Linked DNA regions of Tamandua tetradactyla. The protein of the gene in region 2 interacts with the protein of the main gene of each other region in a pairwise test. Links are inferred from orthologs where the notes say so. Each region holds a gene or a part of one and is shown on either strand. Other genes may lie near its edges.

Region 1 (16,453 bases), on a different chromosome or scaffold from region 2:
CCTTTCCTCCACCTCCGACCTAACTCCCGCCGCTCCCGGGACAGGGTTTCCTGGTCAGCATTCTCTACTGCTTCATCAACAAGGAGGTAGGAGGAGCCCCAGCCCGCCGCCCGCGCCCCCTGGCGGCCACGCGGGGAACGGCTTCGCGTCTGAGCGCCTGCCCTTTGCAGGTGCGGTCGGAGATCCGCCGTGGGTGGCACCGCTGCCGCCTGCGCCGCGGCCTCGGCGACCAGCAGAGCCACCCGCCCGGGCGGGCCTCTCGGGCCCTGCGCTCGGGCTCCGGTCCCGGCGAGGTTCCCGCCGGCCGAGCCCTGTCCTCGGGGACCCTGCCACGGCCCGGGGACGAGGCCCGGGTCTTGGAAAGTTACTGCTAGGCAGCGGGATCATCACTGTCCATTCAGTTAGCAAGTATTTATTGAACGCCCACTGTGTGCCAGGCCCTGGGGGCTCCGGGAAACGGGGGAGAGGGAAACAGAAGGCAAGGTCCCTGCTGTTCTGGAGCTCACAACTGAGTAGGGGAAACAGACCACGGGACAAAACATCATATATGCCTTGGCTTCATGGAATGGCTTATGAAGGGGAAATTAGGAGGCCTAGGATGGTCCTGGAGGACTTCTCTCAGGAGGTGACATTTAGGCCATGTGTGGAGGCGGTGAAAGAGACAGATTTGGGAGGAATAGAAGGTTGAGATTCTAGGCAGAAGGAACAGCATTTGCAAGGGCCCTGTGGTAGGAAGGCACTAGGCTTGGCTTAGGAACAGAAAGAAGTTCTGCCTGGCTAGAGTGCAGTGAATCAGAGATGGATACAGAAGAGAGGGCAGGGGCTCAAGAGCTGCGATTTGATTCCAGCTGCACTGAAGAGTCCTAGTAGGAGAGTCTCGTGGGCTAATGTGTTAAATGGGTCCCTCTGGCTGCTGTGAAGGAGAACGGCCTGTGGGGTGGAGGCTAGGAGCCCAATGAGGAGGCGATGGCAGAAGGGAGGTGATGATGGCTGAACCAGGATGGTGGCCATGGAGGGGTAAGAGGTGGTAGGCTTCTGGAGCCATTTAAGATAGAGCTAAGAGGCTTTGGTGAAGGACTGGAGGAGGAGATGGTAGCAAAGGAAAGTCAAAAAAGACTCCTAGGTTTGGGGAAGTGGAGAGAGGAAGTAGAGAGGGAGACAGGATTTGGGGCCTAAGGAAGGAGGGAATCAAGAGTGCCTGTAAGATGTCCAAGGGAGCTGGATATAAGCAACTGGAGAGAGAAATGTGAGAGGAGCTGGCTTCCAGAGAGGGGGATTTGACATGTAGATACAGACACTGGCTATTAGGGGTGACCCTCAGAGCTAAAATCCTGGTATCTGGAGTGGCTGGGACCTCTGCCACCTGAGATGGGCAGTCCCTGGAAGCTGGATGAATGGGGGGGGGGGCTGACAGCCTCATCGTGGCTGGACCACCTTTACACTTGCGAGAACCTCAGTCCTTAATTTCCCTCCCTCCTCCACCCCCACAGATTCAGCTAGTACCTACATGTTGTTGAGTCTTCTCCCTGGGGTCCCCTGACTCCCTGGACAAACATGCCCTGTAGCACCAGCCCCCTCAAACTTGTGGCCCTGCTGGGTCCCCCTTTGTGGGTTCTGGGGAAGTGGGGGCCCTGGGGAGGGCACCTGTAAATAAAGCATGAGAATCGGTGGTGTCGTGTGTCTTCTTTGTGGGGTGGGAGAATGGCCTTTGAGGAGAGGGGCCAGGCCCTCAAGGGAGATGATGAGTGGTCAGCATGGCTGGGTGGGGCCTGTGGTAAACTGGAAGTCCCCACAGCCTCTAGAGATTGGCGCTGCTGAACTTCAGCCAGGAGCTGCCATGAAACGCCGTGGACACCATGCTGTCACTCTCCCCACTGTCTGAGAAGCCCCGGTTGGGAAGATTACTAAGATATTCTGATGTTTACCTATTTGTGATATCTACAAATAGAAATGATAGATGGAGGGGAGGTGGTGCAAAATTTTTCTTTTCTGAGGGCTGCTCTATGAGTGTAGGCTCCGGATCCAGCCAGGATCTCACATCTTCGTGGCTACTCATTAGTCAAACTTGGGAGGAAAGTTTTCAACTTTTCTGTGCCCTCAGCTTCCACTTCTGGAAAATGGGTATAATGAAGTACCTACATCCTAGGGTTGCCAGAAGTTTAAACAAGTTACTCTTAGGATGCTGCCTGGTGTATGGTAAATGTCCACATAGTGCTATTCCTGCCACCTCTTGCAGGATGAGGTAAAACCATGTGGGCTGGGGGTGGTAGTCAGGTTAGGGTGTCAACTTGGCCAGGTAACGATGCCCCGTTGTTCTGTTGCTGTGGACTTCTAGAACCCATAACCCAGGAGAGAGGGCCAGAACATCACCCCCGTGCATTCCGGTTGACAAAGGAGCTCAGACAAAAGCTTGTTACCTTTCCTCTGAAGAACTATACATTTGTAACTAAGTAAATCTCCTTAATAAAAGCCGATCCATCTCTGGTGTGCTGCATTCTGGTAGCTTTAGTGATTAAAACAGATGGGGTGAGGAGGTGGGGAAGTTAAGAATCAGCCAAGCAGGTGCCTAGAGCTGGTCTCTGCTGCCAACCGGCAAGGCAGGGATACTGTATTAGTTAGGGTTCTCTAGAGAAACAGAATCAACTGGAAATATTCATAAATATAAAATTTATAAAAATGTGTCTCACGTAACTGTGTGAATGTAGAGTCCAAAATCTGGAGGGCAGGTTGTGAATCTGACGATTCCGATGGAGGGTCTGGACAAACTCCACAGGAGAGGCTCGGTGGCTGAAGCAGGAAGAGAGCCTGTCTCTTCTGAATCCTTCTTAAAAGGCTTCCGGTGATTAGATTAAGCATCACTCATTAAAGAAGACACTCCCCTTGGCTGATTACAAACGGAATCAGCTGTGGATGTAGCCTAGTGGTCATGATTTAATTCTATGAAAAGTTATTATAGCAACAGACAGGCCAGCACTTGCCCAACCAGACAAACAGGTACCACCACTTGGCCAAGTTGACACATGAACCTGACCATGACAGATAACAATCTCCATTTCTCAGTGAGAACAAGCCCACAACTAGGAGGAAGTGGGGCAGGGGCTCAACCCCTGGACTGTAACACTCCAAGGCTTGGACTGCCCCGGCTCCTGCACATAATCCAATCCTCAGGGGGGTCCCTACTGCAATACCACCATGCCACCATTTTACGTGAGGATACCGTGGCTGCACCCAAGTTAAGACTGCTATTGAGGGCGGGCCACGGTGGCTCAGCAGGTGGGGACGCTTGCCTGCCATGCTGGAGGACCTGGGTTCGATTCCCGGTGCCTGCCCATGTAAAAAAAAAAAAAGACTGCTATTGAGAGCCTGGTTCCTGGGTTTTAATGCACCCCCATTATTTTCTAACTGGGTGACACTGGTTACTTACCATCTCTGGGCCTCAGTTGCCTCATCTGCAAAATGGGGAGACTCTAGTACCTACTCTACAGAATGGTTGTTCCAATTATATGTGGGCCCCTCAGTGAATGTTTATAATCTTTCCCTGCTGCAGGGTCTCCTGCTTTACCCCCAAAGCTCTGCAGCAGATAGGCCAACAGGGTACTCAGCCTGCAACTTCTGCAGCTAAGAAAGTGTTTGACCTCAGGCCTGTGGACCCCTGTACTGCCTATTTGGAGAAGAGACAGAAGTGCAGGAAGGCAGAAGGTGGGGGTGGGGGTGAGTGAGTCCGAGCAAGACAGGGATCTTCCTTTATCCCTCCCCACAATAAAGCCTCCCTTTTCTACTTCTTCTATCTCCCCATGTATATCAGAGCATTTCTCTCAAAGGTAATTGTCATTTAGGGGGCAGCAGTGCTTGGAGCGGGGTGGGGGTGGTAAGCCACAGGCCTGGGAGCGAGGTGGGTTTGACTCACAGCTCCACCACTCACAGGCTGCAGTGCCTTTGTGAAAGCAACATCACCTCTCCGTCAGTTTCTTCTCCTGGAAAATGGAGGCAATAAATAGCAGTGCCTGTGCGCTGGTTTGAAAAGATGTATGTCCCCTAGAAAAGCCATGTTTTAATCAAAATCCCATTTCATAAATGCAGAATAATCCCTATTCAATACTGTATGCTTGGATTTATAATTAGACCATCTCCCTGGATATGTAACCCAATCAGGAGTGGTTGTTAAACTAGATTAGGTGATGACATGACTCCACCCATTTGGGTGGGTCTTGATAAGTTTCTGGAGTCCTATAAAAGATGAAACATTTTGGAGAACGAAGGAGATTCAGAGAGAGCAGAGAAGAACGACATAGCCACAAGAAGCAGAGAGCCCACAAGCCAGAGACCTTTGGAGATCAGGAAGGAAAATGCCTCCCAGGGAGCTTCATAAAACAGGAAGCCAGAAGAAGCTAGAAGATGATGCCGTGTTCGCCATGTGCCTTTCCAGATGAGAGAGAAATTCTGTGTTCACCACGTGCCCTTCCACTTGAGAGAGAAACCCTGAACTTCAGCAACCTTCTTGAACTGAGTTATCTTTCCCTGGATGCCTTAGATTGAACATTTCTATAGACTTGTTTAATTGGATATTTTCTTGCCCTTAGAACTGTAAACTAGCAACTTATTAAATTTCCCTTTTTAAAAGCCATTCTGTTTCTGGTATATTGCATTCTGGCAGCTAGCAAACTAGAACAGCCTGCCTCAGTGTTGTGGGGAGGGCACCTGGCAAGTGCTGAGCCCAGGGCCTGGTGCTGATAGCTCAGCAGGAGCGAGCCATGACCACTCACCGGATTTGGGTCCTGACTGCACCAAACATGTAACTGTTCCTCCTGTTTATGAGCAGGGCTAGGACATTCTTGGGCACTGCTGTGTCCCCAGTATTGCAACACAGAACTGGGCACCAAAGAGGTGCTCGGGTGATGCTTGTGGAATAGGTAAATGGGAAAAAAAAAAAAAGACTGAAAGAAGGAACCAGGCAGACTCAATGAGAGAAAGGCAGGGAGAAAGGAGAGAACGATGAGAAGCTAGAAAAAACTGAAACAGAAAAGTGCAGAAGTTCCTCCTGCATTGGAAGTGGGAGGCCATTTCCATCCTGCCCATTCACTTCACAGTAGGGGAACGGTCCCGGCCCCAGGGTTTAGCCCCACACCCAAGCCCGGCACCACTCCCAACCCTGGGAACAGTCGGCCACTAGAATAAAAAAACACAGGAACTTTATTATTATTTTCTACATGAGGGCAGGTCATGGCAGGACAGGAGAGGGAGGCGTTGGCAGCGGGGAGGAGGCCCCTACTTGCCAGCGATGAGCGGGTTCCGCAGGACCACGATGACGGAGTCCCCGCGCAGGAACATCTTGGAGATGTAGCGGTCCTTGTTGACCGGCTTGGATTTCTTCTTGCCCTTGCCGCTCTTCGGGACTTCAGTCCACATCTCCTTCACGTTCTCCAGCACCATGTTGCAGTGCCTGGTGGGAGCAGGTGGGGACACACAGGGAGTGAGGGGAGAGCCTTGTGGCTGCCCACACTCTGCCCAGAACGACTCTCATCCTCCAGGTTCCAACCCTGCCTCAGCAGGCCCCAGGCTGGGACTCGGGCCAAGGACCGTGCCTCAGTTTCCTCTTCTCTAAGACGGAGACCATCATCAAACCTACCTCACAGGACTGTTGTGAAGATTAACTGAGTTAATACAGAATTATCTAAGTGCTTAGAACAGAACCTGGCAGAGGGAAAATGCAAAAAGAAATTATTCCACTTGTATGTCTGCAGATGCCAAGAAAGGAGCTGCCTCTCTCTAGAGGCCTGAGGCTCCTGGGGGGTTGGGGCTTGAGGCCACCTGTGACCCCTCCACTCCAGTCCTGCTTTGTCCGTTTCTGTGGTGCCTGGTGGGCATGTGTGAAAGACAGAATAGACAAGTTCATTCAACAAATGTTCACTGAGCACTTGTTACATGCACTGCTTCAAGCACAAGGGATATGGAAAAGAGGAAAAAATAATACTCTGGCCCTCGTAGGGTGTGCATTCTCATAAGGGGAAAAGAAGAAAAAGGTAAACCAATAGATCTATGATATACGGTCAGCAGCTGAATCATTGCTGTGAAGGAAAAATAAAGTAGGGGAAAGGGTTGAAGGAGCTGGGGAAAGGGCCACTGTTAAAGATGCTGCTAATTTAACCAAGCCAAAACTCATCCACGTGATGGAAATATTTTCAAGTTGTAAGGAAAAAAGAAAAAGTAAAAGAACTGAACAAGGAAGCTCTTTGTATCTTGCTCTGGAGTAAGCTACAGAAGACACTGTTAAGTGCAAAAGGCAAGGTGGGGAATAGTGTGCTTGGAAATTATCTTTAGAAGGAAAAGAGGGCAGAGGATGAGCAGGTGCAATGCCCACCTGTTTGCTTCACATTTGGAAACCCTGGGAAGACATCTGGAGAAGGGTGGCAGTGGATGACCTAGATAAATAGGGGATGGGCAGGATGGGAACTTTACTATTTGGGGAGTCATGTGAATATATTACCAATTTGGAAAAATTAAGTTAAAAGCAGAACTGCAGTGTGCCAATATGGAAACATTTATGAATTAATTATATTAAATTAATATTAATCTCATGAATACTGAAAAAGCTGAGATCTAGAACTGCGTGGTGGGACAGTAACAGTGATTTTAAAAAGGCTAAAACCCCACATATGTGTATGATGTCATCTTCAAGTAACATCCCTGAGAGGCGACCCAAGAAGTGAGCTGTGGTGGTGGCTTGGGGGAGGGTGGCTAGGCATCCTTTGTAGCTGTTGACTTTTGCCTCACATGTATGTATTACCCATGCAAGAAAGTAACATAAGCAAATAAATAAAGGCCAGGGGATTGGAGGGTGGGGGTAGGTTACTCATAGTGTTGCCCTTAGGTGTTGACGAGTGGGAGAAATGAGGCAGAAGAGTGCGTGGAAAATCACAATTTTGTCATATACAACTATGTCTCAATAATGCTGTTTTTGTTTTTTAAGTCCACGAACAAAAACTACCATTACAAAGGATCCCCCGGATATACGTGTGAGTGTGTTGGTGTACAAATGTGTATTGGGGTGAAGGCTGGGTAAGGGAAGGATGATCTGAGGGTCAGAGGAGGAGAAAGCTAGAGAGAAAGAGAAAGAAAAGAATAACAAAAATATAAACCACCACTTATCAAGCACCCAACCATATGCCTGATCCTCCTTTAAGCATTTTAGAAATATTAACCATGAATCCTTGCCACAAACCCAGGAGGGAAATACTACTATCATCTCTAGTCTCTGGAGTACAAATAGAGGCTTAGTGCCATGAAGGGACTCATTCAAGGTCACAGTTTGGAAATGGCAGAAACTGGTTTGAATCTACTGACTCTCTGCAACCACCATGATTATTGCCATTGTGCTGACGAGATGAAATCATGTGATGAAGGTCACATGGCTGCTAAGAGGCAGAACTGAGACAGGAACCTAGGTGGGGGCTGGCTCCTGAGTGCATGCCCATAACCACTGTACTGCACAGCTGGAGGGGCAACAAGAGACAGCCACACTATGGGGGTTTTAGATGCACATGTCTTCAGATTCCTCCAGCTGGAGCTGGGGCTGCTTCTCCAGGCCTGCACAGAACACCTCCCAGGACCCAGGTGCTCACCTGTCAAAGGCCTTCACACGGCCCAGGAGCTTCTTGTTGTTACGGCAGTTGATGAGCACTTGGGTGTTGTTCTTGACAGACTGCGTGAGTACGGAGAGGGGCCCTGTGTTAAATTCCTCCTCCTCCCGCTTCTGTAGTTCCTCTGGGGTCATCTCACTCTTGGGCTTGTTGAGGAGGCTCCTGAGGGGGCAAGCACAGGACCGTGAGTGAGAGGGGTTGGAGGTGGAGGATGAGTAGTTATGGTCTTGTCCTTGGTGACCTCCCCCAAACTTGTTCCAACTAAACCACTCTCCCGCTTAGGGCTCCAGTTCTCCTCCCTCTTAGCATCACTACCTGGATCCCTAACAGACATTTCCAACCTTGCATGTCACAGGTTGAGTTCCAGACCACTGAACCACCCAACCCACTCTATCCACAGCCTTCCCCAACTCCATACCTCAGGGAAAAATAATCGAATGTCAACTTGTCTCCTTGTTCTCACATCCTACATCTAACCTGTCACCAAATCCTGCCATCTGCCTCTAAAACATATCCAGGATCTGAACATTTCTTACCATGGTTACTACTCTGGCCTAAAATTCCATTATCGCCCTCCTGAGATCTTACTGGTTTTCCTGCATCTCCCCATGTCCCCAACAAACTATACCATGTCACTCTTCGAAACCCTCCAGTGGCTCCCATCTCAGTGTAAACAATAAACTCCAAAGTGCTCACAATGCCCTATACCTGCCCCCTCTTTCATTCTGCTCCAGCTGCAATGGTCTCTTGAGTGATCCATGAAGAGATTCCCCTAACTTTCATCTTAGGGCTTCTGCATTTGCTTTTTCCTCCGTCTGGAAATCCCCCAAATAGCTGTGTGGTTTGCTTCCCCACTTGTCTCAGATTTTTGTTCTGCTGTTAGCTTTCCAATGTGGTCTTCTGTGTTAGTTATTAAATTTATTTTCTCTCAAAATTGGCATACCCCATTGTTCTTATCATCCTCTACGGCTTCTTGATTCACTGCCCTGATCATTTAAATTTTATTTGCTTACTGTATTTATTGCCTGCCTTCTTACGCAGAAGCTGCACTGAGACAGGGAATTTTTTGCGGGGTGGGGGTTCTATTTTATTCACTGAGGCGTATAAAGCAGTGCCTGATACACAATGAGCACCCCATAATATCTGCTGAAGGAATAAATGAATGAAATCACTCCTGTGATTCATTATCCATGAAAAGCCATTTGTTTCCAAAGTCAAATTTCCAGTATTAGTCCTTTACCTCAAATCGTTTTTCCTTGAAGTCGGCACTTACTTTTCCCCAGGTCCTTTATCTGTAACATCGCTTCCCCTTAAAATTCATCTTAGCAAGTCCAGTTATCTGGCAAAGTCCCTAGCCTGTTATCTGAAAAGGCAGCTTCCTCTCCCGAACTCATGATCAGTAAAAGGCCCAAATCCCATCCTCAAACTCGCCAGAAGGAACATACGCCACTTTACCCATAAAACTTCTACCTTCGCCCCCAGCTCGCTATCAGAAAAGGGCTCTTCCCAACAGACAAATTTGTACCCCCAACCCCACTCCCGCCGCCCAGACCGGGCCGGGCCGGGCCTCACATGATAGTAGGTGAGTCCTGGAACCTCTCCCTTCTCAGGCGTGTTGCGTTTCCCTCCGCAGACAGAAAGAGAGAGAGGCGGGACTTCCGCTTCCTGCGACCTACTTCCACGGGCGCCTGCGCGAACCAGCGGTAGGGGCGTGGCCTGTTGCCATAGCAAACCCCGTCCGCCGGGCGCAGTGGTGGGATTAAAACCCTGTTTAGTAGTTCGAGGCCATTCAGGGCTCTAAAGGGCAAATGGTCTCGACGACACAGAGAAAAATAATGGGGGTCCGAGTCAATTCATTTCATTGTAGGACAGGATAGATTGAAGGGGGAAAACGACACGCCAATTCCAAATACCCGCCAGCTCTGCTTTCGGAGGCGCGACCTCCGCGTGACCAATCCGCTTCCGGCTTCAGGGGTGGGCCCCGCCCTCTTGCCCTCCCGCCCTCCCGGAAACTCCCTTTACGGTTCGGTTGATGGCCTCCACGCCGCGCAACCAATTCTTAGCCAACTCCCGGGGGGGGCGTGGACCTGCCTCTAGGTGGGCGGATGTTGTCAAGGATCAAACGCTTCTTCTGTTGGCTTCTCCTCCTCTGCTGAGGCGGAGCCTACCTCTTTCGCGATCCCTTTTGGGTTGTGCAGCCCAAAGGGAACCGACCCCAAAACCTCAAGGGGCCCATCCTCAAAACGGCAGTTCCCATTGGCTTTACTGCCTGCGGGGGGTGGGACGATGCAGTCGCTCTTGATGCTCATTGGTCCGGTGGTTCCGTGGGAAGGGACTTGGCTGGGCCTGAACGAGCTTCGCGGTCCTGGACCCTTTGCCAGGTAAAGCTGCCATGCGTCCCGGCGGCCGCGGACGGCCTCGGCTACGGCTCGGGGAACGCGGCCTCTTGGAGCCACCCTCGCCTCCCACGCGCCGCCTGCTGCCCCGGGTGCAGCTGCTGCCCCTGCTGCTGGCGCTGGCCGTGGGCTCGGCCTTCTACACCATCTGGAGCGGCTGGCACAGCGGGCCTGGGGAGCCGACGCTGGGCCGAGAGCTGCGGGTGAGGCTCCGCGCGGGTTGGGGCATGGCAGGGGCCCCGCATTCTCCGCCTCTCCTTCCTCGGATCTTGGGTTGACGTGGCTGTATCGTCCGGCCGCAGCCGCAGGTGCTGCCGTCACCGTCATTCGAGCCAATGCCCCTTGCCAGCTGAATCGGGCTTCGGGCTTGAACTGTGGTTCTCCCTTAAGAGGAAGGATCGCGAGTGATAAGACTGGGAGTTGGGAGATCGTGGTTCTAATCCCAATGTCATCTCTTTGGAAGAGTCCCTTTCTCTTTCGGGGCCTTGATTCCCCCCCCCCCCGCCCCCCAGGATTAGGGTGGGCTGGACCAGATGGGCCTCGAGGGATATTCCTGAGTCTAGGATTTATCCTAGAAGTCTTTCACGAGGAGCCAAGGATTATGAAGAGGAACCGGAGCTCCTTATGTCCAGGGTTCCAGGGTTAGGGTCTCGGTGGGGACTGCACTTACGCGCTGGTCTTCCCCACCCCCTCTTTTCCTCTCAAGACCCCGCTGATCGGAAACCTTCCCGAAGCCGGATTGCGGAGGGTGGTGGGGCAGCTGGACCCTCAGCGTCTCTGGGACACCTATCTGCGCCCCCTGCTGGTGGTGCGAACCCCGGGCAGCCCAGGCAATCTCCAAGTCAGAAAGGTAAAGGGCCCCACCTCCCAGTCCCCAACTCGCCCCGGGAATGGGAACTGAGCATTCCGCCCTAGATCACAAAGCAGCTAAGGGGCAGAGCTGGGGCTGATCTGAGTCGATTCAAACGCCCTGTGTACCGTCCCCATCAAAAGCATAAGCAACAGCTCAGTGAGTTGGTCACCAATACAATCTTCACATGCAGATGGGAAAACTGAGGCCCAGAGAGATTATATACTTGGCCCGAGTTCCATAGCTAGTAAGTGGTAGTCCTGGGGGTTGAAACGAAGCAGGCTGGCTCTGTAATATCCCAGTACTGCCTCCCAGAAAGAGTAAGGCATCACTGAATACAGGTCTGGGTTCGAATCCCAGCTTAGCCGCTTGGAATGTGAACTTGAACTAGTCTCTTATTTTGTTGTGCCTCAGTTTCCTCATATGTAAAATGGGGTCAATGTCAGTTCCTACCCCACAGAGTTCTGTAGAGTACATAGAATAGGGTCTGGTATTGAAGAGTGGGCAGTAATTAATCCTGTTGGTATCAAAAGGTAGGGTTGCCCCATACCTGGCACCCACTAGGTGCTCAGCAGATGTGTTTCAAGGGAATATGAGGTGGTCTGGCTGCTCTGCGTGATTTAGGTCATGGCCTTCCCCTGACCCACACTCCCGCCTCTCTGTTGCCACTAGTTCCTGGAGGCCTCGCTGCTAGCACTGACTGCAGACTGGCATGTGGAGCTGGACCCCTTCACAGCCTCAACACCCCTGGGGCCAGTGGACTTTGGCAACGTGGTGGCCACACTGGACCCACGGGCTGCCCACCACCTCACCCTCGCCTGCCATTATGACTCAAAGCTCTTCCCATCTGAGTTGGCCCCCTTTGTGGGGGCTACGGATTCGGCTGTGCCCTGTGCCCTGCTGCTAGAGCTGGCTGAGGCCCTTGACCTGGAGCTTAGCAGGGCCAAGCAGCAGGTGAGGAGGGGGGTGGGGTGGGCTGCCTCCACCCTCACTTGCCTGGGTGTTTATCATCCTTCCGGTCTTCTTGCCTTCATGCACAGGGACACAGGGGTCCTCCCACTTGCTGAATGTCAGAGCCTGTCCCTTCTCTGTCCCAACCTTCTCTTGATGGCTTCTGTGTCACTCAGAGCATAAGCCAGAGTCTTTGCTGCCTCTCCAATCTCATCTCCCACCCTCACCTATTACTTACTCTGCTGTAGCCACACAGGCCTTCTCAGTTTCCCCTAAACCCACGATGTTCACTCCTACCTCAGGGCCTTTGCAGTTGCTATTTTAGCTGCCAGGATCGCAGTTCAAGTATAGTGATTACAGAATGGGCTCTGGAATCAGAAAGCCCTGGGTCCAAATCCTGGTACTGCTTCTTACCAGCTCTGTGAACCTGAGTTAAGTGGCTTCAACTCTCTGAGCCTCAGTTTTCCCATCTGTAAAATGAACATCATGATGAGATAATTGGGATAGCTACTGCCTCGACTCATAGGGGTTAAATGAGACCTGGGAACCCAGTGAGCCTACAGTAGCGGGTAACCAGCATACATTCCTATTGCAGTGAATAGGACCTTATGCCCTGGCCTTCTGCCCTCCAGTTTGCACCTGCAGCATGCTTTTCTCATACCTTCCTGGCTAGCTCCCTCGCTTCATTCAGGGATCTGTTCCATCATCACCTCCTCAAAGAGGCCTTCCCAGACATCCTAAAATCCCTCCCTGTCACCATCCTGTACTTCATATTGACTTCTCGAAGCCTCACTTTCTTCACCTGGAAAATGGTGTGAATTCCTAGGGTAGGTTTTGAATCCAGGTCTTAGAACAGTGCCTGGCATCACCCCAACAAGAGTGAGCTCCCTGAGGGCAGGGAGTTGACTTCTTTTGTTCCCTGGGCCTAGAACAACTCCTGATGTAGAGTAGGACGTCAGTACAGATGTGTAGAATGAACGAATGACAACACAGATCTCATCACATTGTTTCCCTGCTCGAATCCCTACCTTGGCTCCCCAGTGCCCCCATAACAAAGCTCAAGCTGAACTTGTTGGCCCTTGCCATCCCTCTGGCCTCTTCTCACACCTCTCTGGCCCCTTCCCTGGGCCCAGTCTTGCCCTGTGCTATTTCTTTGCCCAGAACTCTCTTCCCACTGCTCCCCCATTCACTTTTTTTTAGGCCAGCTCCCTCTCACCTTCAGGGCACAACTCCTTGCCCCAGATCCAGGAACCCTCCCCAGGTCAGGCCTCTCTCCCAACCTGCTCTCCCACTGCCTGAGCTCTCAGGACACTGTAGTTCTTGGCAGCATTTGTCCTAGCTGCAGTCCACTGTTTGTATAGTTATTCATTATATAATGAATAATTGGGTCTGGCTCGTCTGCCAAACTGAGCTTGAAGAATAACAATAATAATCAGAGCCAACCCTTTGTAGTCACTATGTACCAGGCACTGTTCTAAGACCTGGATTCAAAACCTACCCTAGGAATTTACCCCATTTTCCAGGTGAAGAAAGCGAGGCTTCGAGAAGTCAGTAACTTGTCCATGACTGCTTTGTTAATATGCAGCTGAGCCTGGATTTGAATCCCTGGCAGTCTGACTCAGAGCGGGTACCCTTGGCCACCATGCTCTACAAGTGAGGAGACCTAGTCTGCCCTATTCAATTTTGTGAGCGGACAGGGTGCATGGGTGGGCTGTGGCCGCGGACCTGGCACTGGGTGGGTGCTGATACCTTCTCCTACAGGCAGCCCCGGTGACCCTGCAGCTCCTCTTCCTGGACGGCGAAGAGGCCTTGAAGGAGTGGGGGCCCAAGGATTCCCTCTATGGGTCCCGGCACCTGGCCCAGCTCATGGCATCCGAACCCCACAGTCCCGGTCCCACCAGGATCCAGGCTATCGTAAGACCAGGGCCCACTCCGGTTCCGGTGAGGGAGGCAGAGGGTGAGGCAGGGTTGGTGGCTTTGCACCCGGCCCCTCCAGCCCCGGCCTCTCTCCCTAGGAGCTCTTTGTGCTTCTTGATCTCCTGGGCGCCCCCAACCCAACCTTCTACAGTCACTTTCCCCGCACGGCCCGCTGGTTCCATCGGCTGAGGAACATTGGTAAGGGCTACGGGGGAGGCAGGCGCTGGCCTGGGATATGGGAGCGCCTGTCCCCCAATAATGGCTTCTGTTCTCTCCCTTGAAGGAACTAGGGCAGAAAAACAAAACAATCCCACAGCAGCCATGTCCAATTACAAAACAGGGGCTCGGGGATTGCACAGCCCAGGGTTCATATCCTGGTTCTGCCTCTCACTGGCTGTATAAATCGCCCTAATGGCTTCATCTCCCTGCACTCAATTTCCTGTCTATAAAGTAGGGGCGATGGTGATGATAACAGGGGTATCTCCCACCTTGCCTCAGAGGGATTCAGTGAGACAAGAACATAGCAAGCCTGCAGTAAAGTGTCCTGGCATTCATTCCCACTGGCCCCCTGCCCTCCTCTGCTTTGTGAGCAGGGGAGCCGTAGACCCCGGAGGTGCTCACCCTTTCTCTCTAATCCCTGCCACCTCCAGAGAAGCGCCTGCACCGTTTGAACCTGCTGCAGTCTCATCCCCAGGAAGTGATGTACTTCCAGCCCGGGGAGCCCCCCAGCTCTGTGGAAGATGACCATCTGCCCTTCCTCCACCGAGGTACCTGCTGGGGAGGTTGGAGGGTGGAGGGTGGGGTCTGAGGTCTGAGGGAGCCACAAGTGGGACCTGGCCCCAGCCCCTCCCAGCCCTGGGGACTGGAGGCAAGTTGCTGAACTTATGGGCTGTCAGTCCTCAACTATGAAATAGGAGTTATAACCATCCCTACCTCGGAGGTGGAGGACACCGAATGTATCACTGCCTGGCACTGAGCAAACCTCCAGGAACACAAGCTGTTACTATTTGTACCTTAATGATTACAGTTTCTTCCAGCTCTTGCCTTTTGAGGTCCTGACAGTCGATCAGAATAGCCTAAGAAGCTTTGAAAAATGCCGAAACCTATTTCAGATGTACTGAGTTACCACCTCGGGCATCTGCATTATTTTTTACAAAGCTCCCAGGTGATCTCAGTGCACAGCCACGGTTGAAAACATCTTGTAGAAGGGTTAAGAATGTAGGCTTCAGAAAGGGACAGTTCTGGGTTGACCTAAAGCAAATGGGGGCCCAGAGAGAGCCATCTTCTGGAAAATGAAGATCTGTATACCTGCAGACACATATACATAAATCACAGGTTATGAGGATTCAGTGAGATCAGGTATATAAAATGCTCATTTAGGACATTGTAGGGTACATAAAAAGGGCTAAAAACATTATAGAAAAAATTCTTATTCTATAAATTACTTATTCAACAAAGAGGCATACCGTGCAATGCTGCCCTCTTTATTGATTCATTCAACGAGCATTTCCCAAGTCAGCACACAGAACATTTAGCAAATCTAGATGAATGCAGAGGGAAGTACTCTGAGGATAGGATCCCTGTGTGGTGCAGGGACTAAGAGCCCAGAATCTGGAGCCTGGGGGTGGCCTGCTGCATTCAGATCCTGACTCTGATGCTTACTAGAGGTGGGACTTTAGGCAGAGCACTCTCTCGGCTTCTCTGTGCCTCAGTTGCCACATCTGTAAAATGCAGGCAATGATAGAACCACCCTAAAAGGATTGCTGTAAGGATAAAATAGAGTATGGAGAGAGCACAAGAGGAAAAGCCTCAGACCAGGTCCTAGAATAGAGCAAGTAGTCTATATAAGTATTACCTATTAAAGAAGAGAAGGGCCAAGGACCCTTTCCCTTCTTCTGACTTCTCCACAGTCCATTAAGTTTTGAGTTTAATTTTCTCTAATATGTGCTATGAAAACAATATACTGGTTTAGAAAGAAAAAAGAAACCTCACACACTTCAGACCACTGATCAGAGTTCTTAAAGCACCAGACCAGTGCATCTTCTGTATGTAGAAGGCGATTGTGTGTGGTGGGAGAGGTGGCAAGGTTATCTGGCCAGGTTTCCAAGGTCAACGGGGGGGGGGGGGGGGGGGCGGCACCGGCAAAGCCTGACCACTATTTCCTTTCTCCGGCAGGGGTCCCAGTGCTGCACCTCATCCCCATCCCCTTCCCCGCCGTCTGGCACACATCTGCCGACACCGAGGCCAATCTCCACAAGCCCACTGTGCACAACCTCAGCCGCATCTTTGCTGTCTTCCTGGCCGAGTATCTGGGGCTCTAGCTGTCGAGCTGGTCCCTGCTGGGGAGAAGCTGCTCTGAAGAAACCCCCAGAAGGTGCCTGGAGGCAGCGGCGCTCAGGCAGGGCACCTTTCAGATGTGCTGGGTTTTTATTAGACTTTTGGCTCCAATTGGATGGAAGACCCTCTTTCCTTTGTCTCAAGCAGCTGCCCTTCCTAGACTTGGAAGAGACCACTAGTGGGGGCAAGGACTAAAGGACTAAGGCTTGCTTGGCCCCTTGCCCCAAGGGGAACCCTTGGTCTGAAGTTTGGTGGGGATCAGATGCTGTCTGCCTTTCTAGAATTGGGTAATTGTACACTGGTGCCTGGACCACCACCAGCTAACTGGATTGCTTACGGCTTGTGTTTTCATGTCACTTCGTTCT
Region 2 (16,600 bases):
ATGGCAGAAGAGCCAAGGATCGATGGCAGCTGGTTTTTTGAAAGAAAGCACTGCCTCGATGATGCCTTGATTTGGACACTTTCTCAGCCTCAAACTGTATGCTAATAAATTCCCATGGTTTAAGCCGACCCATTTCATGGTATCTTCTCTGAGCAACCTAGGAAACTAAGAGTCCCCCTACAGGAAATCAATGTCTTATACAAGTGTATAACACATGACTCTCAGTTATCAAAAGTATTATAAAAGGCAAAGGCAGAACTAGATTGTGGTGATGGTTGTACAGCTCTGTAAATATACTACAATTTATTGATAGTGTACTTAAAAAAAAAACAAGATGAAAGGAGAAAATTACGAACTGTTATTTGGAAAGTCTTACATCCATAATGTTTATTTTAAAAAGAAAACCTGAGGCTTAAGTGATAAACCTTAAGGAGCTGAAGGTGATAAAAGTTCTAGAAATGACTTTCCAGAATGCACTCCCAAACAAACATGATTTTACTATTGTAATTATACTGCTGTGGATGGATGCTCTCTTCCAGTCCTGCTTTCCTCTTCATATGTAGATGAAAGTGTTTGTGTATCACAGAAATAGTCCAAGTCCCTTATTAATTCAGGTCAATAAACAGCCTTTTTCCTGCCTCAAAAATTGACTAGCATTATCACAATTCAGAAGGAGCACATTTCAATTTCAGGTGTCCAAAAATCATTTCAAATATCCAGAACCAGAAATCAGAGCCTTTGCTTTACAAAGCACATAACTACTCTAGTTCCTTACTGCTGACAGGATGTAAATGCTATCTCAGCACAGCATTTCCTATGGCGCTCTCATAATTCTGTACACAGAAGTGGATTATGCACTGTATAAGACAGAAGCAAATTCCACACTTAAAAGTAACACCTATTCTTATCAGTTAAGTTCTGATTTTTATTTACAATTTTGCATATATTCTAGAAGAAACATCCTTCCAAACCCAAGTATCTACTTAACTATACCTAGTCTCAAAGAAACCATGAGTCACAAAATGGAAACACGAAAATTAGAAAGCCAGTAAAGAAATATTTTGCTAAACTCTAATGAACTTATACAAGTTCTTTATTCCTGGTATAGGGTGAGGAACAGAACAGGAAGGTAAGAGAAGTCTTGAATTTGGGTTGGCTTATTACTTGGTTTAAAATTAATTTTGGAATAGATACAGAAAAGCAGTACTTCTAGGTCATAACTGTTTTAAATTACTCACTTTGAATTATTTATGCTTCTATTCCCTTATTCGGAAAAAGTCGACTTCCTATGAAAACTAAGCTCTGAAAATAAGCCTGAATATGCATCTGAGAAACCACCTAAAACCAAATCTGACTCTGTCCCTCTGCCTAAAATTCTAAAACAGTTTTCCAAAAGCCTAAAGCGTGGGCGGTGAGATGGTGGCTCAGTGGCAGACTCTCACCTGCCATGCTGGAGACCAGGTTCAATTCCCAGTACCTGTCTATGCCAAAACAAAACAAAATGCCTAAAGGCCAAAATCAAACGTCATAAACGTGGCTTGCTACCTCTCCACTTTATTATATCTTATCATTCTTTCTGTGTCATTTCCTCAAACGCAAGAACTACTAGACTATGCATACACACACACTGTATATGTGTGTATGTATGTGTATATATGTATGCATGTGTATCTATCCTGGCACACACAAAACTGTTTATTACCCTTACCTCTGAGCACCTGTTTCTTCTAATGGGAACATTTCCCTTGACCCCATCTCATTAACTTAGCTAACTGTTTATCATCATTTTCTCACCTCCTCTAGGAAGCCTTCCCATTTGTTGAGACATTGATTCTACTACAACTTGGAAATGTTAGGTGGAAAAGAACAAAAAAGGGAAGAAGACAAAGAAGGTAAGGCTAACAGTGGGTAAAGGGGAATGACAGCAGTGTTTAAGGTACTAGTAATGTTCTATTTTTAACCTCAATGGTGGATGGTTTAGTTACAATTCTTTAAATAGTACTTATATTCTTTTTTGGATGCATATTTTAAGAAAAATATATTTTCTGCTAGTGAAATAACAAGGAATTTTGTTTTAACAAATAAGAACTTAAAAAGAATTGTACTTCCTGAGTGTAATAGTTGTATTATGGTTAAACAGAAGAATGTCCTTGTTCTTAGGAGATACATGCTGAAGTACCCATGGGTGATAATGGCAAGATATATGCTACTAACTCTCAACAGCTCAGAGAAAAAGAAATGTGGCAAAATGTTAACAACTGATGAATTTTTTGACAGGTATATGGGTATTAATGAATAACGCTTGTAACTTTGCTTTAGGCTTGATATTTTTCAAGATGAAAAAACCAGTATAGGGCTTTCCCAAAAAGTAGTTACATTTTAGAAAGAAGAGCCACTATACAGAGATACTACAGACAAAAAGGATTGTGAAAGGGCTATGGTTATATCTACATGGCACTCTTCACCACTTAAACTTTTTTCTCAAATATCACCCAAGAGCTTCTTCTCAATACCTAACGATACTCTTCAGATTCTACTTTATTTGATCACTCCTCCAACCTCTTTTTCCTCAAGTCTCTTATTCCATGACTCACTTCTTAATATAGATGTATACCCTCTCCCAAGATTCAGACTCATACATCTAATGTTTCTACACATCACATGTTCAAACTAAACTCATTATCCTTCTCTCACCCCAAACTTGATTTTCTTTCCATATTCCCTATGTCAATGACTGGTCAAAAGTCTAACCTTCGCTCACTGTTTAAATTTTCCTTTTAAAGCAAAGGTTCTCTACATTTTGTTTTGTGCCCTGGATTCTGTGGTAGGCAGAATTTGGGCCCCTGGTATCATGTCTATGAATATGCTACTTTACATGTCAAAAGGGATTTTGCAGATCTCAAATTATACGGCTGGGCCCAATGTAATCACATGAGCTCTGAAAAAGCACAGAACTTCCTGACTGTAGACAAGAGTTGCAGTAGAAGAGGAGGTCAGAGAGATTTGAGGGCTGGAAAGGATTCAGTATGCTCATGTTGGTTTGAAGATGAAGAGGACCACATATAGGACCTCAGTCCTACAACCACAAGGAATTGAATTCTGTCATAATCTGAATGAGCTTGGAGGTATATTTTAACCCCTGAACATCCGGAAAAATACCCAGCCTGGATGATATCTTTTGGCTAGGTAAGACCCTAAGCAGAAAATCCAGCCATGCTGTGCCAGGCTTCTGACCTCCAGACACTATGAGATAATAAATCTGTATTGCTAAATTTGTAGCCATATAAAACTAACACATGCTATGCCGGAGAACCAAGTTCAATTTCCACTGCGTGCCTGCCTGCCTGCATGCATGCATGCATACATACATACATACATAAAACTAATACAGACTCTTTTGGAAGTCTAAGAGAGCCTAAGGATACTGCTTTAGAATAATATTTTTAAGTGCATAAAATACATAATATTACAAAGGAAACCAATTATATTTAAACACAATTATCAAAATACTGATATAAAAATGAATTTGTCACATAGTTATATATGTTCTTCTTTATTACTGCATTAAATAACAAGATCTAGCACCAGGTCTACTAAGTACCACACTTGCAAAGCAGTGACAAACATAAATAATATTTCAAGGTATCTACAACAATTCTAATTTGAATTGAAAATAATTATTTCTATTATTGACAGTCACAGATGAACACTGCTAACACTACTGCAGTTTGCTGCTTACATTCATAATTGAAAAAATGTTATATTGGGTTACAGTTTACTTAAAATAATGATGAAAATTTTTTCCCATCCTAATTCATGGATCTCTTGAATTAACAGGTTTCCAGACATGCAAGGATGAAGAACCCCTGCTCTAAACCATAAGTTCTATGAAGGCACATCTACCTTGGTCACCACTCCAGCAGTTAAACTTCTGGGAAACCATCAAATTCTGGATATATTGTGAAGACAGAACCAACAGAATTTTCGGCAGATTGGCTATGTGAGTCTGAAAGAAAGAGATGAGTTAAGAATAACTTCAAGGTTTCTGATCTCAATAACTGAAAGGAAGATAGTGAAAACTAAAGGAGGATCAAGTTTTAAAGAAAACAGGAATTTGGTTCTGTAATGTTATGTTTGACATGCTTATTAGATATAGGAAGATTTTTTAAAAATCACATAGAAAGCTGACTTTTAGAAAACTGCTGATTTAAGCCAAATTCAATGAAACTCTACTGAGCCAATTTGGCTGAAAATTCATAAAGAAACTGATTTTAGAAAACTTATATTTCAGTCAGTTTTGCTAAAAATTCTCATCTCAGAGCTAGTATGGGAGGAAATTCATGGAAAAAACTTTTCAGAAAACTGTCCAAGAACCCAACAGATTTTGATAGTAAAGGATACTTGTATATCCCTGATAGTCGTTAAGTACTATAGAAAAAAAAATAAAGCAGGTAAGGGAGATAAAGAATTCTAGAGATGGAAATGGGAAGCTAATTTATATAGAGTGACTAAGGGAACAGTTCACTTATAAGACCTGAAAAAGTATAGGAGCAAACTATGTGGACATTTAGGGGGATTTCTCAGACAGAAAAGATTAAGTGCAAAGGCACCAAAATAGGAGCATGCTTGGTGGAAAGTGACCTTGGTGAGAGCATGCATGACAATTTCAAGAAAAAATCAAGGAACCAGTATGTCTGGAGCACAACAAATGAAGAGGAAATTAGTAGATAAGGTCAGAGAGGCTGGGGGAGACAGAGTTAGATCATGCAGGACCCTGCAGGCCATTGTGAGGTCTCTGGTTTTATTTTGAGTAAGGACTGAGACTTGGGCACCTTAACATTTAGAAGTCAGAGAGATGTGGAAGAAACCAGCAAAAAATGACTGAGAAAGAGCTGCCTGGAAGGTAAGAGAATTAAAAGCCTCTACAGCCTAAATAAAGGGCTACAATCATATGGGAAAGGGATAGGAAGGGGTAAAGGTGGAGAGAAGCTTGAAATGTATGGAAATCTGGACCAGGGATATGGGTAATGAATTTAGAAGTTTGAAAGACTCAAATAACGGATGCATAGCAGGAAGGAGGACTTAGTGTTTGAGTTGGAAAGCATGGAAGTGACCAAAATCAAAGTTCCTGAGAAGATTACCAAAGAAAAATATGGTAAACATAGTTTGCTATTTAAACACCACCTTTTATATATCCAAGAGGGAAGGGAAAATAGTAGCTGGCAGAGTAAAACTGTGTTTACAGTAAAGATCAGGCCAAGCAATAATAAAGGTTGCCTAATTCACCAGGATTTCCATTTCTTTCTTATTTTAAAGAACATAAAGAATAGTAGGAAGGGATGGAAAAGATGGGACTGAACCTTTCCACACAAACATGGTATCATAAGATCCTTTAAATAAAAGAGTGTATGTGTGTAGTTCTGGGCCTACTGAGCAGATATCTGCCTGAGGGTCCATCTGCATGTTGCAATCAACAACTCAGAATTTGCTTTCTACCTGAAGGTCCATAAAACTTCCTCCTGTTAGTTGGCATTTCCCTATCTCTCCCTGCAATACTAATCACCCTTTCTCTCCAGCTCATCCTTCCTTATTGATAGGTCCTACTTAAGCCTGTTGGAGTCACTGACCTCCTTAAGAATCTCATGCCAGAAATCAGAAAAAAAAAATGCACATATACAAATTCTACACATAACTTCAGAGTGTCACAGACCGTTTGAAGTACTGACATCTAGTTCAAATTTAAAGACCTTGTTCTACAACCTGCTTTATCCCTATGATTCTTCTCTACTCTGAACCCCTCCCCCTCCTCAGCACTATCTGTACCTGTCACCTAACTATTCATCATGAACTGCCTCATTATATCTTTAACACTTACCCGTGTTTTTTATCTGTAATACTAAATTGTTTTTATTAATCCAGAATAGCATGCTACAGTAACTGAATAGCATAAACATTTATTTATTACAAAAATGGCTTCCAAACCATTAAAAATGAAATTGGAATGAGTGCATAAAATGGAGCAGTAACATCACAACTGCTAGGACACATTTAAAGTACTCACATTTTGCGACATTACTGTGCTTAGGTTTTTTTTTTTTGTTTTTTTTTTTTTTGGCTTCTGTTTGTTTTAAAATAAGACAAGACTCAAAACAAGCAAATATTTAAGATTTAAGATAAGGCTGATGTGAAAGCACGGTGTGCCAGGTGGCCAATGAAAGAAGCAATCTCTTCTGGGACCCAGACGTGGGAGTCGGGTCCCTTCAGATACGACCCCGCCTTGCGTGGGTTTGGGAGTGTTCCTTCCCCAACCACACCACAGAAGAAAATCTATACTCCTTAACCAGATATTCAAAATCCTGCACAAGCTGCCCAGGGCAACCTCTTCTATACCCGTTCATTGGAAAACACAGACATATCCTTGAGTAGCAGGCGGAGCCTGAAAACGCAAAACCTTAAACGAGACCATGAGGAAAGAGCAAAGTAGACGCCAGAGCTCCGGTAAGCAGGCGGGTAAAAAGCATGTCCGAAGCTCGGGAGAAAGAGATATTAGACTAACAGTCTTTCCCCAGCACAAGCATCCCCGAAATGACGGGGACCACGTGCTGCACCTCCCAGCAGCCACCGAGGTCAGGTATCACCCACGCTCCTCGATGTCCGCAGGAGGAAGGATGAAGACGCGCTCGGGAACAAGGATCCCACCTCTCAGCGATGTAAAGGGTGCCGGTGCCCAAACCTTTCCCGTCTAATACAGCTTCGGTATCTGGCAGTTGGTGCCGAAGGCCATCGGTGGGGCCGGGTGGCGGAACACTTTTGAGGAAATTCATTGAAGCAGGGAATAGCAACACACAAGCCGGAGGAAGCGAAGGCGATAACAAATCTATCTCACCGCGTCCTGCCCCGGAAGTGGTGGCATTAACATCGGAAGAGCAACTTAGACGGGCGGAAATTTCAACGTTTTTGACCATAGAGACGAGAAGTTCTAGGAAACCCGGAGGTCTGCGAAGACCGTGATGGGCGTGTCCCCGGACGCCCCCTTTACTTCTCGCCCTTTCTGAGGCTTTAGGCTTAGGGTAATAAAGCTTTCTCGATGACATCCTATTTCTAGATCCTTACTGCAACATTCTTTAGAGAGGAGGCACAAGAAAGATTAGTATTCCTTTTCTCTACAAAAGAGGAAACTAAGACCTGAGACACGGAGTGCTTTGGGAGCAGAGACCACACGCTTGAGAGGTCAGAAAGCCCCTAAACTCGGTTTAGGGCGCTTCTCACTTGTTCTTGCTTCACTCGCGACTGTTCACATCTCAGCTGTACGCAGCCAAGCGCCAGAAATCAGTGTAGGTCCTGAAACCACCCTCGTGCAGAACGACTATCCCCACGTCAATGGAGGGCCGGCCAGCGCAGAGAGAAGAGGTAACTGACTCCGGATGAAGAACAGCCTATGTTAGTAAGGAGATGGGCCGCTGAAAGGAAAAGAATTAAGCCCCTAGATTTGGAACTCTTAATTTATTTCTTACTTAGGCACTAAAGAGTAAATAATTAAGAGCAATTAAAACTTTAAAAGTAACCATAATAGTAGCTAAATTTAGCCGAGTGTTATGTGCCAGGCACATTTTTGTGTTACTGGTTCCTTCGCTCCTTTTATAAACTTTCTTTTACGTTGAAATAATTAAAAACTTACAGGACAGATGCAAAAGTAATACAAACCTCATATAGAGAAGTCCAGCATACCACCCCCACCCCCAGATATCCAGATCCACCAATTGTAATGTTTTTTCACCTAGTGGGAGTAATCACGTTCACAATGTTGTAGTACCCTCACCGCCATCCATTACTATAAATTTCCCTTTACCCCAAACAGAAACCCTACATTTATTTTGCATTAACTTTCCATCGCCATTGCCCTGACCCCTGGTAACCTGTATTCTGCTTTCTGTCTTTATAGAGTTTGCATATTGTTTTCTTTGTCGATACCACGGTGCTTAAATGTCCTAAATCTATAATAATCGCTTAACTTAATTTTAAAGCTTAACTTGAACAGTGTACATAAAATATGTTCCTGTACGCCTCTGTCCTCCACCTTTATGCATAGTTCTTATCCTTGAAAAGGATTAGCGCTGGCCTCGTGCGCGTCTTCATCCTTCCTCCTGCGGACATCGAGGAGCCTCGGTGGCTGCTGGGAGGTGCTGCACGTGCTCCCCGTCTTTTGAGGCATGGTTGTGCTGGGGGAAGACTGTTAGTCTAATATCTCTTTCTCCCGAGCTTCGGACATGCTTTTTACCCGCCTGCTTACCGGAGCTCTGGCGTCTACTTTGCTCTTTCCTCATGGTCTCGTTTAAGGTTTTGCGTTTTCAGGCTCCGCCTGCTACTCAAGTATTTGTCTGTATTTTCCCAAGAATGGGTACAGAAGAGGTTGCCCTGGGCAGCTTGTGCAGGATTTTGAATATCTGGTTAAGGAGTATAGATTTTCTTCTGTAGTGTGGTACATTCCTTTTTAAGGCTGAGTAATATTCCATTGTGTGTATATGCCACATTTTGTTTATCCATTCATCTGCTGATGGACATTTGGGTGGCTTCTGCCTTTTGGTTATTATGAATAATGCTATTATGAACACTAGTCACAGATATTTATCTAACTCCCTACTTTCAGTTATCTAGGGTGTATACCTATGTGGTAGTTATATTCAGTTGTCAGTTTGGCCAGGTGAAGGCACCTAGTTCTGTTTCTGTGGACATGAGCCAATGGTACCTGAACCTCATCTGTTGCTGATTACATCTGCAGTCGGCTAGGAGACATGGCTGTTGCAATGAATGAATTTTTTATTTAATTGGCTGATGCTTAAATGAGAGAGCACAACGTAGCACAACCTCATCTCAGCACTCACAGCTCAGCCCAGGCCTTTGGAGATGCAGAAAGGACTCACCCTGGGGAAAGTTGTTGGAACCCAGAAGCCTGGAGAGAAGGCCAGCAGAGATCGTCCTGTGCCTTCCCACGTAAGAAAGAACCTCAGATGAAAGTTAGCTGCCTTTCCTCTGAAGAACTAATGAAATAAATCCCCTTTTATTAAAAGCAAATCCATCTCTGGTGTGTTACATTCCGGCAGCCAGCAAACAACCTAGAAGTGGGATTGCTGGATCATATGGTAGTTCGATGTTTAGTTTTTTGGGGAACCATCAAACTGTTTTCCACAGTAGCACCATTTTACATCCTATGTACAATGGATGAGTGTTCCTATATTTGCACATCCTCTCCACTACTTGTAATTTTCTTTTTTTTTCTCTTTTAAAGAATTTATTTATACCTATATCATACAACATGGCGTTTTTCAAGCACTTTTTAAACTGTATGTGCTAGTTTGAAAGGGTTATGTACCCTAGAAAAGCCATATTTTAATCCTGATCCATCTTGTGGAGGCAACCATTTCTTTTAATCCCTATTCAATATTGCACGTTGGAAACATGATTAGATTATCTCCATGGAGATGTGTCCTGCCCAATTGTGAGTATCTACCTTTGATTAGAGGGAGATGTGACTCCACCCATTCCAGATGGGTCTTGATTAGTTTACTGGAATCCTTTAAAAGAGGAAACATTTTTGGAAAAAAGTTTGAGAGCCACAAGAACCATGAGAGCCCACAAAGGCAGAAACCTTTGGAGATGAAAAGCACCCTTTGGGGAGCTTCATGTAACAAGAGCCTGGAGAGGCAGCTGACAGATGTCGCCATGTTTACCGTGTGCCTTTCCAGGTGACAAAGAAACCCTGAACGTCATCGGCCTTCTTGAACCAAGGTATCTTTCTCTGAATACCTTAGATTGGATATTTCTATATCTTTGCTGTAATTTGGATATTTTCATAGCTTTAGAACTGTAAACTTGCAACTTAAAACTTACAACTTAATAAATTCCCATTTTTAAAAAGCCATTCCGTTTCTGGTATATCGCATTTCGGCAGCTTGCAAACTAGAACATTGTGAAAAATACCATATATACAAAAAAGCAATACATTTCCAAGTGAATTTTTTTCAACTTCCAGCACCTTTTATTCTTCCTAGAATCTAGATACAATAAACTCATTTACTCAATAATTGATAGAGACATAACTACACAAAAGTATTCTATATGCAACATATGGCCTTCATTACAGAAGTTGGCCTAACGAAGCTTATAAACATTACAAATTACCCTGTGCTTTTCCATACTAGCCAAGATTGCAACCAAGAAACCACTGTATTTTAGTAAGTACTTAAAACAGCTTAAGGGCAGTGTGATGGTGGCTGAGTGGTAGAGTTCTCATCTGCCATGCCAGAGACCCGGGCTCGATTCCCAGTGCCTGCCCATGTAAAAAACAAAACAAAACAAAACAAGAACACACAGTTTAAGTTATGATCCCTCCCCTTACAGGTGGAAAAAAACACTTTAGTTTCTGTCCTAACAAAACTTTATCCTGAACTATCAAATTTCAGCAGAAATGAACACCAGAAATAGGTTGAGTCTTTAGCCTAAGCTGTTGAAGGTTGACCTTTCAAAAGAAGACACAGGTTTCTCATTAAACTTTGTTTAGGTCTTAAAATTCTGTGACAGATTTTTGGTCATTGTTTCCATTTAATAAGTACTGATTTTAAAAACCAATAACTTAAAACTGCCACACGAAAACAAATGGTCCATAAAACGTTCCTTTCCTTCTGAAGGTTTTACCATACGTCATTATCATTCATCATTCTTTTACAATGAAACTTAAATGGCCAATTGAGATAAACAGTTCTGAGACCATTTTTCCACCACTGATTAAGACTGGGGTGGCAGGTGTTATGGGTAATATTCATTTAGCTTTCTGAGCTTTCTGGGCAGACTTGGTGACCTTGCCAGCTCCAGCAACCTTCTTGTCCACTGCCTTGATGACACCCACAGCAATTGTCTGTGTCATATCATGAAAAGCAAAATGACACAGAGGAGGATAGTCAGAGAAAGTAAGAACGCATATGGGCTTTCCAGGAACCATATCAATGATGGCAGGATCACCAGATTTCAGGAATTTGGAGCCATCTTCCAGCTTCTTGCCAGAACAGTGATTAATCTTCTTCGGCTCAGTAAACTTGCAAACAATGTGAGCGGTGTAACAATCCAGTTCAGGTGCATAGCCAGCACTGATCTGGCTGGGATGGTTCAGGATAATCATCTGAGCAGTGAAGCCAGCTGCTTCCATTGGTGGGTCATTTTTGCTGTCACCAGCCACATTGCCACGATGAACATCTTTTACAGACATGTTCTTGACATTGAAGCCCACATTGTCCCCAGGAAGAGAGTCATGGTGCATTTCAACAGACTTGACTTCAGTTATAACATTTATTGGAGCAAAGGTGTCTACCATGCCTGGTTTGAGAATACCGGTCTCCACTTGGCCCACAGGCACAGTGTGAATTACCAATACCACCAGTTTTGTAGACATCCTGAAGAGGCAGAATCAAGAGCTTGTCAGTTGGACAAGTAGGTGGCAGGAGGCAATCCAGAGCTTCAAGCAGCATGGTTCCACTGGCATTGCCATCCTTATGAGTGACATTCCATCCCTTGAACCAAGGCGAATTAACACTTGTCTCCAGCATGTTGTCACCATTCCAACCCGAAATTGGCACAAATGCTACTCTGTCAGGGTTGCAGCCAATATTCTTAATGTAGGTGCTTACTTCCTTAACAATTTCCTCATATCTCTTCTGACTGTAAGGTGGTTCAGTGGAATCCATTTTAACACCAACTATTAGTTGTTTCACACCCAGTGTGTAAGCCAGAAGGGCATGCTTTCGGGTCTGCCCATTCTTGAACATACCAGCTTTATATTCATCAACACCAGCAACAACAATCAGAACAGGACAGTCAGCCTGAGCTGTGCCTGTAATCATGTTTTTAATAAAGTCTCTGTGTCCTGGGGGCATCAGTGATGGTCACATAATACTTGCTGATCTCAAATTTCCACAGGAAGACATCAATGGTGATACTATGCTCACATTCAACTTTTAGTTTATCCAAGACCCAGGCGTACTTGAAGGACCTCTTTACCATCTCAGCAGCTTCCTTCTCAAATTTTTCAGTCGTTCTTTTGTCGATTCCACCACATTTGTAGATCAGATGGCCAGTTGTGATGGATTTGCCTGAATCTGTGTGGCCAAAAGCAACAATGTTGATATGAGTCTTTTCCTTTCCCATTTTGTTTTAAGATATAGCAATGGTTTTCATGACACCTATGTTCTGGTAGCAAACCTGTTGTGAAAAAGTCCAAGTACATTTTAGCAAGTAGTTGTTTGACAGATTTTAAAGTTTGGTATGGGTTACAGTTCCACAATTTTTCATTTTTTCTTCTAGCTCCTCCAAGACACTGGAGACCAAAAGAAGTATCAATATATTGATTCAGCAATCATATTCATTTGTTAAATCCTATCCTCTCTATTATACTCTTCCTTTTCTTTTTTTAATTTTTGTGAAAAGTAGCATGTACAAAAAAGCAATGAATTTCAAAGTACATTGTAACAATTAGTTGTCAAGAACAGATTTAAAAATCTGGTAGGGTTACAATTCCACAATTTTAAGTTTTTATTTCTAGCTGCTCTAAGGTACTGGAGACTAAAAGAGGTATCAGTATACTGATTCAACACTCATACTCATTTGTTAAACCCGAACTTCTCTGTATAACTCCACCATCACCTTTGATTTTTCTCTCACTCTTTAGGGGTACTTGGGCTATGGCCATTCTAACTTTTCATGTTGGAAGGGGCTGTGGATAATATATGACAGAGGGATGGAACTAGTTGATATTCTGGAAAGGCTGGCCCCTCTGCATTTCAGGACTTGTCTGGTCTGGGAACCCATCTGGAAGTTGCAGGTTTCTGGAAAGTTACCCTAGTGCCTGGAACCTTTGTAGAATTTTATATAGCACCCTAGCTACCCTTTAGGATTGGCAGGAATGGTTTTGGTTGGGGTTTGGCAAGTTATGATAGTGGCAATGTCTAACTGAGGCTTGTGTAAGAGTGACTTCCAGAGTAGCCTCTCAACTCTATTTGAATTCTCTCAACCACTGATGTCTTATTTGTTACACTTCTTTTTCCCCTTTTGGTCAGAATGGCATTGTTGATCCCATAGTACCAGGGCCAGACTCATCCCTGGGAGTCATCTTCCACACTGCCAGGGAGACTTTCACCCCTGGATGTCATGTTCCACATATGGGGGGGGGAGGGGTCAATGGTTTCACTTACAGAGTTGGGCTTAGACTGAGGCCACATTTCAGCAACAAAAGAGGTCCTCTAGAGGTGACTCTTTAGGCATACCTATAGGTAAGGCTAAACTTTTCCACTATATACATAAGTTTCACAAGAGCAAAGCTGAAGATCAAGGGCTTGCCCCCCCCACTCCCCACCCCCATGTATTTTACAGCAGCTAGAAGCAACAACCTAAAATTGTGGAATTGGAACCCATGTCAAACTCTGAAATATGTTGTACAACTAATTGTGGTGCTGTGCTTTGAAATTTATTGCTTTTATTTATATATGTTATTTTTCACACACACACACACAAAGGAAAAAACGTCAACTGTGATGATAAAAAAAATTTATAAAAGACATGTAAAAATGAAAAAATATATATTTATTCCTTCTAGCTTCCTATATTCTGGAGCAGCTAGAAGGAAAAATTTGAGAGGATCGTATGGTAGCCCATGACAAATTCTGGAATCTGTCCTGTAACTACTTGTTGAAGAGTGCTTTGAAAACTATTGCTTTTTTATTTCTTTGCTTTGTATATATGTTATACTATACAATAAAAAAAGGGTTTAAAACTTTTTTTAAAAAATCCATGACTGGCCTATTAATTTGGGTGTCCCTAATGTTTAGCATAGTATCTGGGGTTTCCCTGGTGGTAAAGTTTAATAGTTCCATATTGTTTCTCCTATCCCTCAAGGGACTTTGCCAATACTTCTTGATTATCTGCTTAATATACTCTGGGATATAGCCAGGCATTACATTAAGCCATATAGGAATGAAGGCTCTCATGTTTATTCTGGGCTCCCTGTGTTTGGATTGTTTAAATGACCTATCCAGACAGGTTGAGTTAGATTATGTGCTCCTGAGAATTTAGGTTCTAGACAAAATAAACCTTCCTTCCTTTGGTCTCAAAGAGTAGGTGAAGTTCTAAAATACAGGCAATGTATTCCTTAATCCTGACCTGATAGGCTTTGTTCTTATCTCTAAATACCAGGTTATGCATCTATAAAAAATATGGCTTTTTCTTTTTTCGCATGGGCAGGCACTGGGAATCGAACTGGGTCTCTGGCATGGCGGGCAAAAACTCTGCCTACTCAGCCACCGTGGCCTGCCCAAGAAGTGTGGCATTTTAAAACACTGACATATAACTCCCTAATAAGATAAAGGAAAGACAAAATTGTTTATGTTATTAGAAACAAGATACACCATCATTTTATAATCTTCAAACATTATTGCAATTTAACTTTCATATTTTGAAAATATACATATTCATGAAGCAATATCCAGACAATAACTGCTTAACAAAGAACACTTTTAAGTAGACACGACTATCCTAAATTGTGTATTAGGTATGAATTTTATAAACATTGCTTATATTAATGGTAACAGTGGAGATGGAGAGTGTCATGGTCAAGTTCATGTGTAAACTTGGCCAGATAGCAGTACCTGTTTGTCTGGTTGGGCAAGTGCTGGCCTGTCTTTTGCTATGAGGACATTTCACAGAATTAAATCATGAGCAGTCAGCTACAACCACAGCTGATTCTATTTATAATCAGCCAAGGGGCGTGTCTTCTTTAATGATGATGCTTAATCTAATCACTGGAAGCCTTTTAAAGAGGATTCAGAAGAGATGGGTTCCCTTCCTGCTTCGGCAGGTGAGCCTCTCCTGTGGAGTTCGTCCAGACCCTTCATCGGAATCATCAGCTTCACAGCCTGCCCTACAGATTTTGGACTCTACGTTCCCACGGTTACGTGAGGCACTTTTATAAATTTTCTATTTATGAATATTTCCTGTTGATTCTGTTTCTCTAGAGAACCCTAACTAATACAACTACACTGTAGTAGTTAGATTCATTTGCCAGCTTGGCCAGGTGAAGGTGCCTAGTTCTATTGCTGTGGACATGAACCAATGGCATGTGAACCTCATCTGTGGCTGATTACACCTGCAGTCCGCTAGAAGGCATGCCTGCTGCAATGAATGATGTTTGATTTACTTGGCTGGTGCTTAAATGAGACAGCACAACAGTAGCACAGCCCAAGCAGCTTAGCATACCTCATTTCAGCACTCGCAGCTCAGCCCAGGCCCTTGGAGATGCAGAAAGAAATCACCCTGGGGAAAGTTGTTGGAACCCAGAGACCTGGAGATCAGGCCAGCAGAGATCACCCTGTGCCTTCCCACATAAGAAAGAACCTCAGTTGAAAGTTAGCTGCCTTTCCTTTGAAGAACTGTACATTAACTAAATAAATCCGCTTTTATTGAAAGCCAATCCATCTCTGGTGTGTTGTATTCTGGCAGCTAGCAAACTAGAACAGAGAGTATTGTGCCTTCTCCAAGCTGCATGGCAAGAACCACAAATAGTATGGTAGAATTTGTGGCCTTTTCCAAGGCTATGGTTCTTGCGGCCTGGAGACATCAGCCCACACATCTCCCTGTGCTTGTGGTATGGCTTGGTGATCCATTGGGTGTCAGGATTTCTTCTGATTTTATGGAATGCATCAATAAGGATAACCTCAAAGAATGTGTATGTGGAGTCTTCATCAACCCAGTAAGAATTCATGACTTTCAGCACCCCCACCCCCCAGAGGTGTCCAACTTGGTCCTCAGCAACAGACTTAAGGCTTTGAGCAAATTTCAGCCAGTTACACCCTGATGAAAAGGCTTGCCATATGTTGCATCCTTAAAAATCATGCATTTATGGACAACATGGTGCACTCGAATCCTATAGATGACATAATGTTGCTTGGCCTTGTATCCAAGTCTGCTCACTTTATCCATCCAGGTGGGACCCTGTGGAGCACAGAGAACTTGTAGTACCACAAACAGCAGACCCTCAGAAGAAACTGCATCACACTGGACTGCTTCTTCCTTTTATTTTTATTGACAAACCTTCACTCAGATACAGTCCATACACGGTGTACAATCAGTGGCTCACAATATCATCACATAGTTGTGTATTCATCACCATGGTCATTTTTAGAACATTTGCATCACTCCAGAAAAAGAAATTAAAAAAAAAAGTCATACATCTCATACCCTTTACCCCTCCCTCCCATTGACCACTAGTATTTCAATCTACCAATTTATTTTACCCCTTATCCACCTCCCCATCATTTATTTGTTTATTTTTTGGGGGGGTGCATGGTCCGGAAATTGAATCCAGGCCTCCCACATGGAAGGCAAGTTTTCTACCACTGTACCACATGCGCCCTATTTATTTATTTTTTATCCATATTTTTAAATTCATATGTCCATACTCTAGATAAAAGGAGCATCAGACACAAGGTTTTCACAATCACACAATCACATTCTAAAAGGTATATCATTATAAAATCATCTTCAAGAATCAAGGCTACTGAAA

Evidence for each region.
Region 1: the proteins of CLNS1A (region 2) and SNRPD2 interact in binary tests that used the Homo sapiens proteins (3 or more experiments, as listed by UniProt). The link is inferred for Tamandua tetradactyla from reciprocal best matches to the Homo sapiens genes CLNS1A and SNRPD2.

Annotation. Positions count from the first base shown.
Region 1 is NC_135342.1:15,333,963-15,350,415, reverse strand, and holds SNRPD2 (small nuclear ribonucleoprotein Sm D2), read right to left. Parts: upstream 9,341-16,453; 5' UTR 9,212-9,340; coding exon 9,210-9,211; intron 7,800-9,209; coding exon 7,620-7,799; intron 5,441-7,619; coding exon 5,266-5,440; 3' UTR 5,168-5,265; downstream 1-5,167. Other genes in the region: GIPR (gastric inhibitory polypeptide receptor), read left to right, coding at 45-86, 171-374; QPCTL (glutaminyl-peptide cyclotransferase-like protein), read left to right, coding at 10,030-10,236, 10,740-10,883, 11,556-11,837, 13,596-13,748, 13,850-13,949, 14,402-14,518, 15,927-16,072. UniProt on the Homo sapiens protein: Plays a role in pre-mRNA splicing as a core component of the spliceosomal U1, U2, U4 and U5 small nuclear ribonucleoproteins (snRNPs), the building blocks of the spliceosome.
Region 2 is NC_135334.1:67,191,498-67,208,097, reverse strand, and holds the start of CLNS1A (methylosome subunit pICln), read right to left. Parts: upstream 6,929-16,600; 5' UTR 6,825-6,928; coding exon 6,700-6,824; exon of another isoform or gene 6,659-6,699; intron 1-6,658. UniProt on the Homo sapiens protein: Involved in both the assembly of spliceosomal snRNPs and the methylation of Sm proteins.